Linked DNA regions of Coturnix japonica. The protein of the gene in region 1 interacts with the protein of each later gene in a pairwise test. Links are inferred from orthologs where the notes say so. Each region holds a gene or a part of one and is shown in the gene's direction. Other genes may lie near its edges.

Region 1 (8,496 bases):
GACACAACACCCCAGGCACCATGACTCCTCTTTTACAGCCGAGCACGACAACGCAAGTCCTCAGACACCCAAGTTCTGCCCGAGATTGCGTGTCACTGCCTCATCGCTCCAAAGTGGCAACAGGCCACTGAGCCAATACCGTGTCCCGGCAAAACGACCTCAGCCATTCTGATCCAGCACGCACCCTCGCACTGCACAGGTGCTGATATATGAGCTGTGTGTGGCAGAGCCCTTTGTAATCAGTGGTGCCCATGTCTCTGTCTCTTCCTCGGAATATCAAGACTACGAGAAGACTACAAACAAACAAACAAAAAAACCCAACTCAGAGTATCTTTCTTCACTCCGCTGTCAAGAGGTACTTTAGCGATATTTAAAACATCTTATCTTATGGCCTCGATGGAGTTAGTTAGGTATTCTAAGACAGTGTAGCGCAAGTCTTTCATGATCCAATGTTTACATGATTGCATCTACTCTTTTCAGATAATTCAACTCTCAGTTTATACGTACATTTCTCTACTCACTCTGTAAGCATAAAAATGTTCCACCTAATCGCTTTCTTCACCCTCTCGCATGTCTTTCTCGCTATGTGCGGTTGCTAGATACCCTCTACTCGGGTCGTACATAGTTAATCATCGCTTTAAACATGTAAGTTTTGGTGCATTACAAGCAGGGTCAATGTGTGTTGGAATGGATACCGATGCCAATGCTTCTGGATGAAGGTGCGTAATTCGAAGAGGCACCCAATATGTTAGCTGTGGGCCCCGCACAGCATACCCCGCCCCCCTGCAAGGTCACATGCGTCCCTCTACATAAGATGCTTATCACCTGCCCCTGTCCAGTCCAGCACTTTACAGAACACCACTAAATGCTAACGTCCTGACTTCACCGTTGCAAGGACCTTTTAATCTTTAGCAGACCAGTTTGTTGCCATTCTCACAACTCCGCTCTTGCCTGCCCACACCACACCTCACCCACTACAGATGGTGCGAAAAGACATGTGATGGCTATCGAATTATGCGAGCTGCATGCACATCATTGGGTCGTTCGTCTGGTGTGCAGGGCCCTGGGCACAGGTGTGCACTCCCTGGTGCCTTGGGGTACATTATGGGGGCACCCACAGCCAGGTTGTAGGTATGATTTGGGAGGTGACCATAAGCACCAAGGAGACAGGCTGAGGCCATCCAAGATGACTGATCTAGCTGCTGATTTACGCTGGTTGGCAACTCTGCCCTGGCAGGGGGTTTGGAACTAGATGATCCCTGAGGTCTCTTCCAACCCAGGCCATTCTATGATTCTATGCGTGCAAAGGCAGCTCAATCTGCCTCTTGGAACAGAAGGAAGATCAGTGATTCATGTAATTAAAGAAAGAAGTGGATGACAGATGAAGCTGTGTGATGCACTCTGACATCTGGAGAAAGAAAAGAAAAGAAAAGAAAAGAAAAGAAAAGAAAAGAAAAGAAAAGAAAAGAAAAGAAAAGAAAAGAAAAGAAAAGAAAAGAAAAGAGCTAGGAACATTTCAGCCTAGCAGTAAAACACCTTTTCCTTTCCCTCTTTTCAGTGGGGATCAAGGCAATGAAGGGCACTGAGTAACTGCCCCGAGGGCATGGTAGGATTTCCAGTGGCTTTGAATTAATGCAGCAAGGCTCCCCCTCCAGCGATTGCTTGTTTAAGCATGTGTGACCATGAACACCCTTTCCCAGTAGCACTGGAACAGTTTTACCACTCAGCACATCTTTCCTTTCCTTTGTATAAGACAAAAGGTAATGGCCTTAAGCTGAGCCAGGGGAGGTTCAGATTGGATATTAGGAAACATTTCTTCTCAGAAGGAGTGGTGAGGCACTGCAGGCTGCCCAGGGAGGTGGTGGAGTCACAGTCCCTGGAGGTGCTCAGGAACCATTTGGATGCATCACTGAGGGGTGGGTTGACTGGTAGAATATCCAAACTTAATGATTCTATGATTCTATAGGCTGTGTTGTCACTAATCCATCTCTCATATTTTAAGTCAAATAATGTACACTCACAGCAGATGTAGTGAGAATAAAAGGCTTTTCTATTTCTTCCCCCTGAATAATGGTACTTAAACCTGCTTTATGAGATCTTTGTTTTCAGCTTTATATTTTTCAAGGCACCAGAAGCTCAGAAGCATGTCGGGGAAGCCCAGGCTCACCTATCTCAATGGGAGAGGGCGAATGGAGTCCATCCGTTGGCTGCTGGCTGCAGCTGGAGTGGAGGTTGGTTGACAATCAGCTCTTTAAACGGACACTGTGTGAAACAGTTCAATATGCACACAGGGAATAAGAGACTGTAAAAGGGTGAAAAGTTTGTTTTTGGAATAGATTTAGGTTTGGACCTACTCTGTTCAGTGGCTGGTATTTGGGATGCAAACTCAATGGAGCTTTGGGTTTCACAGAGTTAGCATGAGTCTTCTGAAGTAATTCTAGTGGGTCTAAACAGGGATTTTTTTTAAAGGCCTTTAATAAATCTAAGTTTTCTAGCTGTGCAAAATCACTTTTGCTCAGTCTTATTTAGATTGCAGTTGCAAAGTGTATATATAAAAAAAAAAGGATGTTGTTGACTTACATGCTCTTGGGGTGGTGTTAGAAAGAGCTGATTTACTTGTGCTTCCCTTGGCATTGGCTGCAGCCTGCTCTTCCCTGTAGATGCCTGTGTCTTCTGCTTGCACTCCAATAATTTCTAAATCAGTGCAGCCAGGCAGAAATGGCCAGGCCCTTCTGCTGCAATCCAGCCATGGGGATGGGTGGAGAGTCCTCAGGGGATTCACAGTCAAACATCACAGCTGAAGCCCCAGCTCATCGTGTTTTGCTTGGCTGGATTGTTCTGCTCGAGGTTATGTGCAGTCAATTGGAGAAAGATGCCAGAAACATAAAGAGCTCTTCTCTCTTCTTTTCTAGTTTGAAGAAATTTTTCTGCAAACAAGAGAGCAGTTTTTGAAGTTAGACCAAGGTAAGACTATGATGCTTGAGGCTTTGGCCATCAGAAAGTTGCTCGTATTAATCTACATTTGTGATTTAAAAGCAATTTATTTAAACCAATGCAAACTTCCAGGTATAAATCTAGAATGCTGAACACTGGTTTTGTGTAACCTGTTTGTTGCAGTACCAAATAACTCCTATGAGATAGAAGGCAGAATGGCATAATTCCACATTCAGTAATGAAGCCTATCTGTTGCCAGAGAGGAGAATTAAGTGGCAGTGAAAAGGACAGGGAAGTCTTTGAAGGAAAATCAAGGCTCTTCATGTATATATGTATACTGAGCTTAAGGGATTGAGAGCACAAAGAAAAAGGCTGGCTTTGATACGATAAGGCAAAGAAAGTTGAATATTAGTCATTTGGTGGAGTGCTGCCAGGAGATCAGAGCAGGACTGAACTTAAATAACCACCACTCCCTCTACCTCCATCTTTTTTCTCTCTCCTTGCCAATGTGCCTTGTGCCAGGGAGCCCTGAGTTCAGACTCCAGAGCACTGTTACCACCAGCCAGGTGTGCCTCTGGCCTGTGCCAGCTGATGGTCTTCTAGGAATCCTCCAGCGCTTTCTGGCATTCGGCCCAGGCCAGGAGCCGTTCCCAGTGGGCACCTTCTAGCCAGACAGCTGCTTTGGAGACAGAGAGACTCCAGCACATCACCCTGACCAGCCTGTACACACTGGCTTGAGACCAGCTGGCTTGGCTTGATCTATGTAGCCACAGGTTGATGTCAAGAAGTATTGCTGTTCTGTCACAAACAGGCCTAGATTATCACTCTTTAATGAATGCCCACAGACCATCACCAGACACAAAATACAGCCAGCAAACTGCTTTAAACCCTGCATGTATGTTATATGCAGTGGCTACATGAAGCGGTTCCACTGCAAAACAAGAAGCAGCAGCCTACTGATGGTCACAGGGGAAATATTCTTCTCTGTAGAGAAGAAACAAACCAGGCATTCAGAGTCCTCACATTTGCTACACTGTACTTCTTGTCAAGGAGCAGAAGGTCAGATTCATTATCTACTTAGTGCAACTTCTTGCAGAGAAGTATGCTTGGATAGCTGCTATTTTTCCAGTCCTACGTTATTTCTGCCTGATATGGGTCTTTTTAGAGGTGATATTCTTTTCCTAATCTGCAGAGGTGTGTTTTGGTAAGAGATGATGACACAGGGTCATTCTGTTAGTGTTTATGAGAAATAAATGGGCTATTTCTTGCCACAAAAAGAGCTGCTTTTTGAATTTAAGCTGTAAATTAGTGATGTAGTGAAGAGTTTTTATTAATTCTTGGTTAGTAGAGTATTTTAGCAGCATCTCTGTAAAGAAGTGAGTAGGTAAAGGTGTTGTGAATTCTTGTACTTGGAAGAAATGCACTATTAATAACCGCCAAGCAATTAAAATAAATGCTTAACTTTGAGCAATACAGAGTGGCAACTGTCTACTTGGATTTAGAGCTGCAGTGTGATCTTAACAGGTCAAGATTGTTCTTTGGGTGCCCCTAAACATGTAAATGGAGCAGGGAGTATCTCCAAAGCTGGCAAATGAGTTCAGCAGAAAACTGTGCTAGAAAAGACTGGCTTTGCTGTTCTGAACACAAGGTCTCTCTGCACAGCCTCACTAAAGGATCAGCCAGACTGCTTCCAGCAGTGGGAGAAAACAGGGCTGTCAGCACAGGGGCAGGAGAGGATGGTGGTGGCACAGCTGGATGGTTTTGAGTTGTTGTGAAATGACACTGGGGACAGGCAGGCATGTAATGGAAATCTACAGGGATGCTCAAAGTCCTGTTTCTGGAGCAACTATGCAAAACTTAGTGAAGCAGCGAGCTGCTGTCACACTCCCCATCCCTGGCTTCAGTGCCTCACAATGAATCTGGCACTGCTTCTCCCAGTGCCCTGACCTTTCCCTTTGTCCCACTAGCTCAGTCTTACTGTGGCACTACCTCTTTTTTTTAATTTCCAACCCTATTTATGTGCCTGCCAGGGGACTGAGCTGCATTCAGAATAATTGGACTTTTTGTTCTGAAGTTCAGATTTAACACAGCTCTTCATTCTTCACAGGTCCCTGGGGCTGGAACTGCTGGGTCAGCCTTCTCCTGCCAGCAGGGCCAGGGGCCAGGAGTGCAAGGGAGCAGTGCCAGTTCCCATCAGGCAGAGCAGCTCTGGCAAAGCTGCAAAGCATGGGGCCCAGCTGCACTGCTCTGACCGAGCTGCAAACCTGATGCCTACCAGACAGTATTTGATCTTTCCCACAATGTTAATTAACCACGTGGAGTTTCAGAGTTAGGGCAAGGCGTCTGTGATCTACACTGCAAAAGAAATGCACTCTCCTGTAAAGCTGGAAGTCAAGGAGGAATTAACAAGCTCTCCTTCGTCTTTCTGTTCTAGATGGATCCCTGCTGTACCATCAACTGCCGCTGGTTGAGATCGACGGGATGAAGTTGGTGCAGTGCAGAGCCATCCTCAACTACATAGCAGGGAAATACAATCTCTACGGGAAAGACCTGAAGGAGAGAGCCCTGTACTGTAACACTTCCTCTTGCTTAATGAGCAATCTGTTATTTGATAGCCGTATTACATAGAACAAATGCAACCCTGTAAATCCAATACAAAGGTGTGAGAAAGGCTAACGAAACAAAGCAGACTGTGGCTTTTGTTTGGGTTTTAGCCATTGCTTATGAAATGCTATTGAACAGAAAACAGGCTTTTAGTCCATTCAAAATTTACCTAGCTTTATTTTGTACTTAGTTTTGGCTATGAAAATTGGCACCGTGATTGTGCTACACAGTTCCTGTAAGTTGCTTTAGTTAATTGCAATACAAATGAAATAAATCCCGTGCTCTTATCTATTGCTTCCCCCCAAATAGGATCGACATGTATGTGGAAGGAATATCAGATCTGATGCAACTGATTTTGATGTTTCCTTTCTCTCCACCTGACGCAAAGGAGAAAAATCTTGCCACGATTGCAGAGAAGGCAAAAGAGAGGTACTTCCCTGTCTTTGAAAAGGTACGTGACAGAGAGGATGTGCCTGGGAAACTTGCATTTACAGTTATCAGAAACTTTCCCAAAACTAAGAACATCATTGCGGTACAGTTGGATCCAGATCCTCAGTCCACTTGGCTCTCACAGAGAAGGGGAAATGAAACAGCAAATCTTCTGTTTGTTAGCTTATGTTGTCAGGGCTGGAACAGCCACCAAGCAAACAAAGTGAAATATTTTCAGTTTACACAGCATATCTCTTTTTACTGATGTAAAAGCAAGCACACATGTTATTGTTGTTGTTTTTTTTTTTTACTATGAGAGAAAATTCCACTCTTCTATTTGTCCAGAGCACATCCTCTCTGCTGCCCTTCAGTCAAAGAATGCAGAAAACCCTTGCAAATAAATCAGATAGACAAAAACATTGAGGTATTGGGACTGCTGTCGTAAAACAACAGCCTCAGATTTCTACACGCCTCATTTGCAGAAACAACAAACCAAACCCACAAGACCTGGCAACACTGTTCACCTTTGTAACGTTCATTTAGTTTTGATGGAAAACAATGATAAATGCTGAACATCCTAGAAGTTCCTATTACCATAACAACTTGCTTCTGGAGGCGGGGATTCTCTTTGGTTTGCTATTGTGATTTTGCATACTAAGTTTGCTTCCTGCATGTTGAACAGAACCATAGATTAAATCTCTAAATGGCATTTTCATGAATTCTCTCCAAGTCCTCTGTTGTCTCTATTTATAACCTTATGACTGTTAATATCTTATTTAAGTGTGTGGCTTTGTCTGTTTTCCCAGTACCGATCATCACTCATCATTACCAAGTGACCAGAGTTTGTAATATGTGTACTAGAAGTTCTGATTTTTTCCAACAACAGTAAAGTGATTTGGGCTCACAGTTCTCTAGCTAAAAAGTGAAACTTCACTTACAATCACTTGCAGTCACTGATTAGCTCTACAACTGTGCCATAAGGCTCAGCTGCCATGTATCATCTGCAACCTGTGCTCTCTTGTACTCTACAGATTTTGAAACAGCACGGCCAAGATTTTCTTGTGGGAAACCGATTCAGCTGGGCAGATGTTCAGCTCACGGAATGCATTTTAGCAGTGGAGGAGAAAGTACCTTCTGTGCTTTCTGGGTTTCCTCAGCTGCAGGTAATGATGCTATCGAACAAACTCATGTTCAGGAACCACGCAGTACAAAGACCTGCCATCTCAGTAGAAATCAGTGTCATTCTAAGGAAACCACTGATCTAAGCTGCCCTGTTTCCATTTTCCTGTCTCCTGCTTGTAAATACTATCTACTACTAATAACAAACTAATTCTGTGACATAGATAGACATGTTAGAATATGATAGAATGTGCCATTTTCTGTCCTGGCTGGTATTATAAATTTGGGATTCCAATAACTTTACTACAGCATGGCCAGAAATTCAAGACCTGATGAAAGAAAACACACTGTTTTCTTTCAGTAATCAACTTGATATCATCAAGGATGAATTTTCTGCTTTTATACTATGTACAAAATCTGCAACCAAGTGAAAGTAAGGCAATCAGAGATCAGACAATTCCAGATCTACAGCATGCTATAGAGCCCAATGCATTATCAAACCTGCAGGAGTCAGAGTTGTGATACAGAGGATCTAAATCCTCTGAGACTAAAAGAAGCAAATACTGTTCAGTAGTTCAACCTTGTGCCTGTAATCTTGGTAAATGGAGTAGTGCAAGCAATGTTAATTTAGACTGATGATTCTATGCTTAAAGTCATTACTTTGTGCTTAAAAACAGTTAACCTGAAGGATGCACTCAAAGACTTTGACTTTGATCCCATTAACAAAACAAGCAGTCCAGCATCAGACTATCCTAACTGGAATTTCTGCTTGGTACTCAAGGAAAAGGGGCAGGGAGGAGATGTGATACTCTCCCTACCCCTCAAATCCCAACTCCAGCAGTATAAGTCTGAATTCAGTCTTACTCCTTCCTGCACCCCACCCCCCTCCCCCCTTATCATTCCAGTGCTTGTAAGGAAGAAGAAATGTTCATACATGTGCCAGCAAGAAATGGCTGTTGTTCTGTGAACTCCTCTCCCTTACTCCCATTGTCAGAGGAGGTTCTTACATACATAATATTGCTGAGCTAACTGTGGGGTCTCCATATGCTCAAAACACTGCTTTTGCTGGTAAGAATAAGCATTTGGCAGCATCTGCGTCCCTCTCATATTAGGCCGGAGGAACCTACATAGACCTGCTCAGCACCTGAATGAATTCATTCTACCAGCAGGGGGAAGAAGCTGTCCAGTGTCCTGTGCATGGAACGTTGCTGCTCACATCATCGGGATTTATCTCTCTTGCTTTTATTTTTCAGGCTTTTAAGACTAAAATGAGCAACATCCCCACAATCAAGAAATTCCTGCAGCCTGGCAGCCAGAGGAAACCCCCTCCAGATGAAAATTATGTAGCAACTGTGATGAAAGTTTTTAAGCTAGGCTGAGTGCAATGTTAACTTCACCAAGTCTCAAAGT
Region 2 (11,408 bases), about 7.9 Mb from region 1:
CTCACATCAAAGCAGAAAGTTAATGTACCTTTCTGAATACAGCAAGCGGGTATAAATGAATTATGCAGTGTCCTAAAGTAGAGACCAGTAAATACACCCTTAGCTACTGAGGGATATAGATAAGGGCCAGAGAGCAATGAAAAAAAAAAGCATCTTGAACATTAAAATAATGTGATACACATCAGAAATATTGCAACTCACAATAAAATATCTATGTAAGAACAACAGTGTGCCAGGCAACACAGAAAATTGAGTCTCTGTAGTATATGTGAAGCAGCACTGTTAGAAGCTGACCTGCAAGCCGGTATTAACTGTTCATAGAAGCAGAACAGTTAATATTCAGGATGCAGAATCAGAAAAGAATAAAGCTATGTGAGATTTCTGAGGTCAAGGCTGCTGCCTTAGTACTAAAGCAATATGAAGAGCAGCCTTTTCAGGAGTACTTAACCACTATATATATAACATGTATACAGTATATATATTTATATATACAGTATATATATGAGTATGAATGTTTTATGTATATATATATTAGAACTATTAGTGCAAGAAAAGAGAGGATAAACAGAATAAAGCCAAGATTTATTCAATTACAAGAGCTCCCTGCCCTGGTAAGGACATGACATGAACAACTCTAATTGAATCCTAAAGATCATTTTGGCTGTCCAAGCAATTTTGCACTTCTTCACAAGATCCAGCCTCTATTCGAGCATGTGAAATTCCAACTGAGAACATCGATAAGACTCAGCCAGTGAGGAACATTCCTTCCTTTTTCGTTTCTTTCTCCTGAAATGGATTCTTCTAAACGTTCCTAGTCCCATACAACCCTTCAGCATCCCTGCACAAAGTCCCACTACAGTGCCCATGAGGCAGGTTTAAGAAGAAGCCTCTCTCAGTGCCTTCCAGCATTATCAGACTATCAGCCTAGTTTGCAGAGTACTGGTGAAAACACACCAAAATACAGATCGCCCATATTGTCAAGTTATACTGCTTCCAGTTGCAATTTTAACTATAATTTGCTTTTGATACAACTAAAATTGAAAGGAAAAGGTCTGCATGTTGCATGGAATAGCCACAGTTGAGTGTTTTTTTCAAGTGAACAGTATTTTCAAATGAATAACTTTTGTTTCAAGTAACTGCCTATCAGTCGCTAGCATATTTTGCAACACTCGAGGCAAGAGGAAAAAAAATCCCCAACAGACTTCTTACAGCTTCAATTTCATTTTGAAGTGTCAGACTCTGTGTCACTGGAAGCAGACATTCCCTCTGCAGCACTCGTAAGCTGCAGCACAACAGACACTCCACTTTCCAGGCTCGCTCAGCTGAAATCCCATTAAGACAAGAATGAAGTTTATACTTTTCTGTCAAAGCTTCAGTGAAATTTAACAACAAATGAGACCTTTAACCAAGTGGCAAAGTAGCCTTCACTTAAAAAGGGATTTAATCCAAGCTTGTTGTTTTCAGGACTTTTCATTTTGTCTGCACAGAGCAATGCAGTTACTTCTTGTTGAGAGACCAAGCTGAATGTCGCTAGTAGGGTCTCCCACCTCCAGGTTTTCCAGATCCCTTGCTGGTTAATACCTATTCCTTCTCTATCGGGTGCTCAGCATCCTGACACTGAATATCTAGCATCCTACCCTGCCAAATTCACCATTTCCACATGGCAGTTTTGTCTGACTACAGCGATCCTGATTCATTTGCTGACAACAATGCATATGGCACTACTCAGAGACTGGCAGCACAGCCCATGTAGAAAGATGGTCATGGGGGTTTCCATTCCAATGGCGAGATTTTGGTCTTTCCAAACGGTGAAGCACTCTCCTCCAGCTGATGAATTTGCTGCTGCCTCTTATCCAGATGTGACATACCTGCTGCTGCTCTGCTTCTACATTTGTGTTTCTTAGATTTCTGCAGATAACTCCCATCAAATGCAGAATCTATTAAATGAAAAATGCTTTCCTGTACATTACATCATGGGTCTGATCTTCACAGATAATGCAATATGGTTGTTATGTTTCTTCTGAGGTCCTGTGTAGTGAGGTCCTGGAACAGGCTGCCCAGGGAGGTTGTGGATGCCCCGTCCTTGGAGGTGTTCAAGGCCAGGTTGGACAGGGCCCTGGGCAACCTGATCTAGTAAAGGTGTATGTTTGGTGGCCCTGCCAGGCAGGGGGGTTGGAGCTTCATGATCCTTGAGGTCCCTTCCAACCTGGGTCATTCTATGATTCTCTTTCAGGTGAGTTTGCTGAAAGACAGGAAATTATACCAAGTAATTTCTCTCAAATTCAGTAAGGGAAATACAGGAAATAAGGAAAATAGGAAAACCCAGAAATCGTCCCAGCTCCCTTTTGCATGGCCTGAACTATTTAAAACACGAGGAGCCTTTAGCTACAAATTTGCCCTTCAAATTTAGAAACAATATTTTTCAGAGGAAAATTCACTACAAAAAAACTTTTCTTTTTTTTTTTTTTTTTGGAAAAACCAACTCAGAAATTGCACCTGGATGACGAAATCAAAAACAGGCACAGATAATTTGGTCTTCTTAACTGTTTAATTTAAATGCTCAGTTGTGAAAAATGTATGTTTTAAAAATCAGTCAGAGAAATCTTGAATAACTTATACTGCAATACCCTCTTGTGGCCATATAGTAATAGTTTATTTAAACAACTGAAGCTTTCTTCTGCCCCCCAAAAAACCCTATCTTTTTCCTTTTGGAAGGAACTAGTTCATATATTTGTTACAGACAAATCTGCATCATCATCACTTGTCTGGCAGCAACAAAGGGATAACCTCTGTTTTGCTCTTCTTCAGCATAATGGGCATAATGGGCCCTGACACTGCTTATCAGAGAAACTAATATCAAAATTAACCCTCAAGCAAAGGCACCATCTCCTACAGTGACACTCATAACAACATTTTCAATTCTCATGTCCCCAAGCAGAGAAAATAAAGATGCTATAATCAGTTTTCATGGATACATACAACATGAAGCCACAATTAACATTAATCTACTCTACTGCAGGATGGGAAGAATTATGAAGTGGATCAATTGTGTTAACCCAAATGAGTTCCATTCTTAAATTCCCAACATTGTTATAAAAAACCCCAAAAGCTAAACCAGCAGATGATAATATTAGAGAAAACAGTTCAATACCCGCAGAACTACTGAGCTGTATATTCAGTGGCCTGAATCGGCTACAGGTTTGTCCAGTAAGGAACCCAGAGCAGTCCCCAGAAATGTCACCCTTAATGGAGACCAGTTATGAGAACACAGGATAGTTTTTAAAGTATTTGCTCTTAGTGTTCTGGTTTTGGAACAGCAGCTGAAGTCACAACCACCACAAAACTTATTTAGGCAGCCATTATCCCACTCCCATCTCCAATATCCATAGAAACAACTGGAACAGGATGAAGTGTCCAGCCGCTGTATGTAGACATATAGATTATATTCATTTAACAGCAGAATTTCTAACTGGTAAAGACTCCCATCTTTTCTGAGGTTGCAGTCTTGGACCTAAATATCTGACTTTAACCTACTAGCTTACTTCCAAGCAGACATTCCTGCTCCCCAGCTGCATCAAAACTAAGTAAGTTACATCTTCTGCATCTTTGCAGACAACATTCAAAAGAACAGACTCTATGCACTGGCCAGCAATGTTCCCATGTAAATTATTCAGTGACTACAACAAGTCATTTGGAAACTATATACTCAGCTGATAATCATTTTTAGCTTATTTTCATATTTAATTTGCATAAAGTGACTTGAAAGGGGCGGGGGGTACAAGATAGAAGGGGACAGACTCTTTAGCGGGGTCTGTTATGACAGGACAAGGAGAATGGCTTTAAACTAAATGAAGGGAGATTTAGACTGGAAATAAAGGCGACTTTTTTATATGAAAACAGCAGTGAGGCACAGGCACAGGTTGCCCAGAGAGGTGTTGGATGCCCTGTCCATGGAGACACCCAAGGTCGGGCTGGAAGGGGCTCTGAGCCCCTGATGGAGCTGTGGGTGTCTTGGTGTACTGCAGGGGAGTTGGACCAGATGGCCTTTAAGGGTCCCTTCCAACTCCAATGATTCTATGAAAGGTTATAATAAAAATAACAGAAGAACTCTGTAAACATTCATTAAAAAGCATTCAATTCACAGGAATAGCCTTTCCAGAAGGATCTTTCCCTGACCTGATCAGAGGCTGAATTCCTACACTGCACTGATAAATTAATTGGTTCTTCCAAGCATGCCCCAGGTTCCTCTCACTGCAGTTGGATGCCGCTAAAATCACACCCTTCAACTATCTATCTGCCTACAGTCCAGGAGAGGATCTTGGAATGAATAAAAAGCTTCTGGAGGAGGAACAGAGTCAGCTATGAGGCCTGGTTGGCAAACAGCTCATTCCTTTAGTTATAGGGCTGTGTGGTCATGTGACATTTTTTGTTCTTTTTGGATGAAAGACGTGGAAAAAAAAACTTTAGGTTTCAATTCCCTCAGAAAAGACAACAACACAGACAAAAAGCCTACGAAAACTGCATTCCAATCCAAAGCAAACATTCTGTTTTGACATCGATCTTTAAACTCTTCTTAATTTATGATACTGAAATTTTTGAAGTCATGGTAATTTTTTACAAACACAGAAATATCTTTTGCTCAGAAATGTCTACATGAAATGTCTGGATTGTTGGACAGTTACAGCTATTTTAAATTACCTCTTACTTGCCAAATTCAGCGTGTGCTTCCCAAAAGCCCCCAAGTAAGTACATTTCCCCCCCCCAAAAAAAAAGAAAAAGAAGAAAGAAAAAGAAAGCAAAATCCCTAAAAAACAGATTAGCATTTACTAGGAAGTTGAGGCACGAAGCTAGAATTCATCTGGAGCTGATTCCCATGACTCAGAAACAAGTCAGTTGAGAATTGAAGAGGAAATTTATACTTTAAATGGCCTTATTTTCCTGCAAGGTCACCAACACTTGAGGAAGTGACTTAATACCACAGAGGCCGTCACAGGCTGACTGTAGGGCTGACAAACTGACATTTCAGACACTGTTTTGAAAATTCTCACTAATAGCTCCTGAAAGTTCATTAAAAAGAACTTCCCATAGTTGCTTAATATCTTCTGAAGAAATCTCTGAGTATTTTATATGGACTTTTTATGATCTTTGGATGCTCTTCTTTAAATCTGAAAATAAGGAGCTTTAAAAGCACGATTGCATTGGAATATCTTCTTTCAAACAAAAGCGCTCTGCCCAAACAGTCCAAGGCCTCAACAGCTGCCTGCACTGGGTTTCTGCCCCCTCTCTGGTGAATATTCACAAGCCAGCCTGGTTTCCAATGGAGACAGTAAACACATCAGGGAAAGCAGCAGCTTTCGGGAGGTTTTGCTTCTGCCACAGAGCTACCACAAAACTCCTCCTGACAAACCAGCAGCAGTCCCACAGCATGCTCTGCATTAAAGCACGCTTTGCTGTTCTGCATGAACATAAGGTGGTCTCAGCTGTAAGCAGCACGCATCACCTCCCTAAGCAGAGAGCTTGCTGCTTACAGCTGGAGACTGATGGATTTCAGTAACAAGTGTTTCTTACAAAAATTGTTGTTACCACAGAAACTTGTTCAGCCTTCATGCAACGAAGCAACGCAGAGCAGTAGGAAATGATCATTAAATAACAAAGAAGCAAAACGGTGCTGAGCGCTACCCGTCAGAGCTGGTCTGCGTGCTCATTTTCTTAAAGCAGTCCAAATCTGCAGCTGAAAGAAAGCGCTGGGGGAGGAGGAGCACTGAAAGCACAACAGCAGGCTTAACCTGCTTCATTGTCAGTAGCTCTGTTATGAGTGTCAAAATGGACACGTTGGAAAAGGGTTCTGGATTTGGGAGGAATACCTTGAATGGTTCTCGGCATCCAGCAAGCAAAGCTCTGGAGCAAACAGCCTCAGCTCCTCCTCTGTCTCGTGGCAGCATTTGGCCTGGAAGAGCACACCTGGCTGCTAGGCCCAGGGCAGAGGAGCGGGCAGCACTGCAGCAGGACCAGGTACAGCAGGATAAGGTCTGGAGAGAGTCTGTGGAGGCTGAACGGAGAGGAAGAAAAATCTGGTAAGTCATTTGTTCCAATTCACCCCTCTTCTGCTCATCTCGGCAATAGTACTGATGCACCCTGACATCATAGGGCTTCATCCGAAGCCTACACTATCAAGCAAAGTTTTCTTCTGCAGGATCCTTGGATTAGAACCTACCACCTTAGCATTAGAAAGATTCTAACACTATATGAACTCTGTTCTCTACTGGGCAAAATCTATGCCAATAACTCCCAACACACTGAAAAAGCTGAAAAAGAGATGCAAAGAAGCGCATGTTTTCTGTCTTTTAGCTTTATAGGGATCTCCACAATGATTATATAAATGTGCCAACCTTTATAATTTATTGCAGACACACTGATATTATCACCACTTCTCATATTCTTGGAAATGGCTGAAATGGAAATTGAACAGAGTGTTCTGCCAAAACATGACTCTGGATTCCCAATCTGTAAATCTCCTGAACATACCCTACAAGCCACATGAAGACAGGAAAAATCCCATTATTTCAGTGCTTCAGCAGAAAGAACTGCCTGCATACATGTATTCACCAGTTACCTGAAAGAGACAGAGATTAAGATCCTCTCTGTCACGTAACTTGTGAAGTGCTTCTGTTCATACTTCAGTACACAACACAGACATAATTCTTACAGGAATATATTTGGTAAAAGTAAAAATAGCTCCAGTTCTGCCTATGCACTAGCCAAGCAGACAAAAGAAAAAAGGCAGAGAATGAAGCACACCACTTTTAGGATGGTTTTAGGAAGGGAAAAGAAGCCATCTGAAAACTCCTGTCCTCCTCCTCAGTCCTCTGGAGGAAATATAGATCATAGTTTGGGTTTCTCCAGTGCCTGCTGTGTTCACTGGCTCTTTTTGCCTGAGGGAAAGGCTGAAGCCTGGACTCTGACTCACACAAAGCCTGGGCTGTGGTTGCAATGCTGCTCTCCCTCAGTTGTACACTCAGGACCTTTCCCAGTGGGCCCAAATGTTCCATGCCCATTCTTCAGCAAAGGCAACAGGAGGGATGCTACATCTGCCCATGTCTATTAGGGCTCACAGTCATGGATGTCAGTGCAAACCCATGTTCATGTGTACTTAGGGTAACACATCTACAACTAACGCATGCCCTGCTCTCCATCCTTGGCAACAGAGACACAACTCTTGCACAAGGGTAGGACAGATATGTGGACAGATGTCTAAAGTCAGCATTGCTGCCGACATAGAATCATACAGTTACTCAGGTTGGAAAAGACCTTGAAGATCATCAAGTCCAACTGCAGCCTAACCATAGTACCCTAACTCTAACAACCCTCTGCTAAATCATATCCCTGAGCACCACATCCAAACATCCTGTGACATCAGGCCACAGCCTGCAGAGAACTGTCCTTTGGCGCCTCATCCCCATACCAAAGACAGTGATGGGAAAAGCTCGCTATGAGTTTGTGGTCTGACCTGAAGTGGGTACAGGCAAATGGCAGAGACACAAACTTTTCTCATTAATGAGCACCTTACAGTGACGTCCAAACCTGGTACACTCATATAGTGTTCAACATAGCAAGATGTATAAAACAGGGACAAAAAAGACAAAACATTTTAAACTGCAATTTTGACTTCTGTTCCGAGGTACCAGAACTGGAGTTTCCTAAAGGACTACGACCAAATGGTAAGTTTCAAACAAATACTTAACTGTAATCCAGGTTCTTTTTAGCTTGCACCACTTCAAAGGACACTAATATTTTAAATGGAGCATATTTAGGCATAACTGGCAAATGTTTGAAGACTAAAATCATTAGGAAAACAAAAGAGAGCTGAGGTGTCATTCATCTTCCATAAAGGAATACAGCTTTGTGCGTGCCTTCAGTCTGCTCCAGTATTTATAACTTCATGCAGAGAAAAGTGCTAGAAGAACCAGCTCAGGGGAAAACAAAGTGTAAGATAATGTCATACTAAAATCCAAGCCACTACTAAAAACAAAACAAATATCGTCCCACATCATGACCATTCCAGAGCAGGCTAAATTCTTTCTCTCCTGACATTTTAAGCAGCATATTTAAAAATGATTCATTTCCCTGTGCTATCTTATTCCCAGGAAAAATTGCTAGGAAAACTTTTTACTGTATTTTTGCAACGCTTTCATGTGCATTAGGGAACTATTACATGCTTACACCTTAATTGTCAAAAAGCAAAAGAGCTGATGTTAGTAATAATCTCTATAACCTGTATTTTCAGAAGCAAATGATGCAGCTGTGAAAACTCCAGCATTAATGGTCTTTGTTTCATCCAGGGTAACAAAAAGGAACAGAAGCCACTGCCAGACTGTACATCTGTGTTTTCAAACACGGTTCCCAATTCGACCAACCAGAACATTGGTAGTAGGATGAATACTGAACATGGCAAGATGCTGATAAACATGGATTACTTCTTCAGCAGGGGAGCACAAAAGAGGAAACTTGAAGATGACCTCCAGCTTTCCTAATGCTTAAAGTAAAGATACCGGTAACAAAGCAAGTGACAGAGATCTAGCTAATAGACTTCTTTCAGACTGAAAATAGCAGGGAACAAATTCCTCATCTTCCCCCTGATATCAACAGTACTGTCCTGCGTGGAGCTTTTTCAAGAGCAAAGATGTATGTCACCAAGCAATGCCTAAGAAGACAATCCTCTTCAGATTTGAGGTAACTGGGCCATATACAGTGAGTCAGGACCACAGATCCCATCTATCTTCCCATGCGAGGCCATTGTAACATTGCTACTAAAGAGAAAGTTTAGAGTCTAAGGGCAGTTTCTTCCTGAATTTTTACCTCCTGAAAAGAAACAATTGATGGAGATCAGTTCAGATGAGTTGCACTACAAACAACATGATACAACCTCTGAAAGTCAGTGTGATAAAGTGCAGCAGGTTGTTGTATTTCATGTATTTAGCCAAGGATTCATCAGCTTGTCACCTGCGTGTTTAAGCTTGTTCTTAGGAGTAAAGTTGAAGGAATGTAAGATGCGTTACATGCATTTTCAAGCCTCCCTGCCGAGAAACCTGAGCCAGGCTGAGCCAGGTTATATTCTTATTGTCACCATTCTTTAATTTAACAGGGATGTAGCTCCTAAAATCTGCAGTTACCCAGGGAAATCATAAGGCTAAATCGACACAATACTTACAGCCTGTTTACTAATGCATCTGGGTGCAAAGCTTGTTTGTGATCTGTTGTTTTGGAGGAAAAAACATTAATCAGCAGAGCATGGAAAATGGAAGCCTACACTTTCAACAAAATAATAATAATCTTGCTGAGCTAAAATACCTTCTGATTTCTTCTAAGAGAAGAAAGCTGCAGCAGGAACTGTTTTTATTTCAAATGCATCTAGTGGGAACATAGCAAGCTCCACGTTTTCTAACCTGCAGATGGCACTCACTTCCCACCAAGTAACCCATTGCAAAGGGCACAGCAACAGCATTGCACAATACCTTCCTAATTTCTAAGGGCATTAAATAGTTCCAGATTCTCAACAGTGTTTGCTCTGTGTGAATCCAGAGAATCCCTGTCCCAGAGAGGCCCTGCAAAATGGATTGCACGGGACAGAGGGTGGTCACAGCACTGCACTTTATCCTTCTACTCAGTACTGGCACTGCTTCAACTGAAGCGTTTCTTCCAGTTTTGGGCAAAACATGGAAGGTGCTGCTCTGAAGACGTGGGCACTAACAAGACTTGAGAAGCAAAGACTGTAAACAGAGTACTGGGAAGTTTGGCTATGAGGATACATTAAACAGGTTATTACAGCTTAACCTGAAAAAATAAAAAGAGAATGGGAACTGAGAAATCTCTACCTTTAAATGTTAAACACGCACAGCCATCAGGAATGACATATTTAACAAGGTTTGCCTGTTAGAGTGTGAACTGTGTAACTGAAGCAGTTTTCATCAGTTATCAGATCTTCACTGGAGTTGCCGGAATCAGAAAACATGGCTTTTCAAAACATATCCAAAAAGGATTTAAAAATCACATCAGTTGGGTCAGACTGGCATAGACCACACCTCTAAAACCCAGATCACCTCATGTTTCAATGAGCGCACATTCCTAGCCTTCTTCTGGCTGCCACTTTACAGTGAAATGCTTTTCACTGCATCCAGATGAGCCTTTTTCAATCAGAGCCCCTCTGAAATCCATCCTTAGTGCCTAGTGTGTAGTTAAAGTAAGTTAACACCTACAGCAACCTTCAGAGAACACAGCTGGGAGCTGCTGAGGACTCAACCAAAGCTGCCATAGATCCTGTGAGCAGAAAGCAGTAAAGAGGTATTCTGTAGACACTGTTTTCTTCCCAAGTTTAGCGATCATTTTTTCTCTTACCAGAATTAATGTCACCAACAAATCTTTATTTACATAAGCAGAGACACTGAGAAGGAATGGATGACAGCAGCACTTACATTTGTAAATGATCGGTGGAAACTCCATTTATTAAGGAGATTGTACAGATACTAAACTGCGCTGTAAGCTTCTTGAGAAGAGTTTTTATGATGTATCACTCGTGCTTCATGGTTTTATAAGAGGGTTTTTTTTCTTTCCTTTAGCTGCCAGATCTCAAAGAAGAGATTATCTGTGTTTAGAGAATCCATTCTCTGTATTTCTTTCAGTCAAAGCGCACAAGTGGGTAGGAATTTGAATTTAATTCTGGAGTTAGATAGATGGCTTTCTCTTCTAAGGATTGTTCCCAGTGCCTCCAAGTCTTGTGTGTTCTCATTTCAAGCTATTCTCATAATAAAAATGTGTGTAATTGTTCGTATTTTATAACAAAACATACGTAACTTCATATAAACCTTTATTTCTTCTGCTCTTAGAATAGTTTTTGTACACAGTTCCCATGTGACATCTTAACTATGCAGCTTTCTATTCTAGAAGGCTGGTGATTCCAACCATGTTTTTTAGAAGCTGTATTTCAAACTGCTTCTTGGCCTTTACATTATTCTGAAGCAGTAGTTAAATGGATTTACCTACCAAAACTGTTGCAACATGGTGTGCAAATTGCGAGAACAGTCAGATTCCTACAACATAAGAAGAAGAAAGCAATTATGTACAGGCATTTAGATGGACAACAGAGGCCAGGCCCAGGAGCCAAAATATTTATAACACAATGTATAATACATAAAAGACGCATTGCATACATACATGCACAGTCACATTTTCCCCTTTTTGAACACTCTGTAGAACAGCATTTCCAACTATATGTTCATCCCAGTGCAGACAATTTGCCTCTTCACAAGAAGTGGGGTAGGATTTTTGTTTTGTTTTATGTGGGGATTATTTGATTGTTTGTTTTTTTTGGTTTATTTGCTTACTTTCTTTGACTTCTGAGTTTAGAAATGAAC

Evidence for each region.
Region 2: the proteins of glutathione S-transferase-like (region 1) and C3H2orf50 interact in binary tests that used the Homo sapiens proteins (3 or more experiments, as listed by UniProt). The two-hybrid records come from large-scale screens. The link is inferred for Coturnix japonica from reciprocal best matches to the Homo sapiens genes GSTA4 and CIMIP5.

What each region holds. Positions count from the first base shown.
Region 1 is NC_029518.1:80,703,799-80,712,294, forward strand, and holds part of glutathione S-transferase-like, read left to right. Parts: intron 1-2,109; 5' UTR 2,110-2,144; coding exon 2,145-2,231; intron 2,232-2,912; coding exon 2,913-2,964; intron 2,965-5,368; coding exon 5,369-5,501; intron 5,502-5,847; coding exon 5,848-5,989; intron 5,990-6,998; coding exon 6,999-7,130; intron 7,131-8,339; coding exon 8,340-8,465; 3' UTR 8,466-8,496. UniProt on the Homo sapiens protein: Conjugation of reduced glutathione to a wide number of exogenous and endogenous hydrophobic electrophiles. This isozyme has a high catalytic efficiency with 4-hydroxyalkenals such as 4-hydroxynonenal (4-HNE).
Region 2 is NC_029518.1:88,603,849-88,615,256, forward strand, and holds C3H2orf50 (uncharacterized protein C2orf50 homolog), read left to right. Parts: upstream 1-4,792; 5' UTR 4,793-5,811; coding exon 5,812-6,074; intron 6,075-7,678; coding exon 7,679-7,718; intron 7,719-8,339; coding exon 8,340-8,531; 3' UTR 8,532-10,821; downstream 10,822-11,408.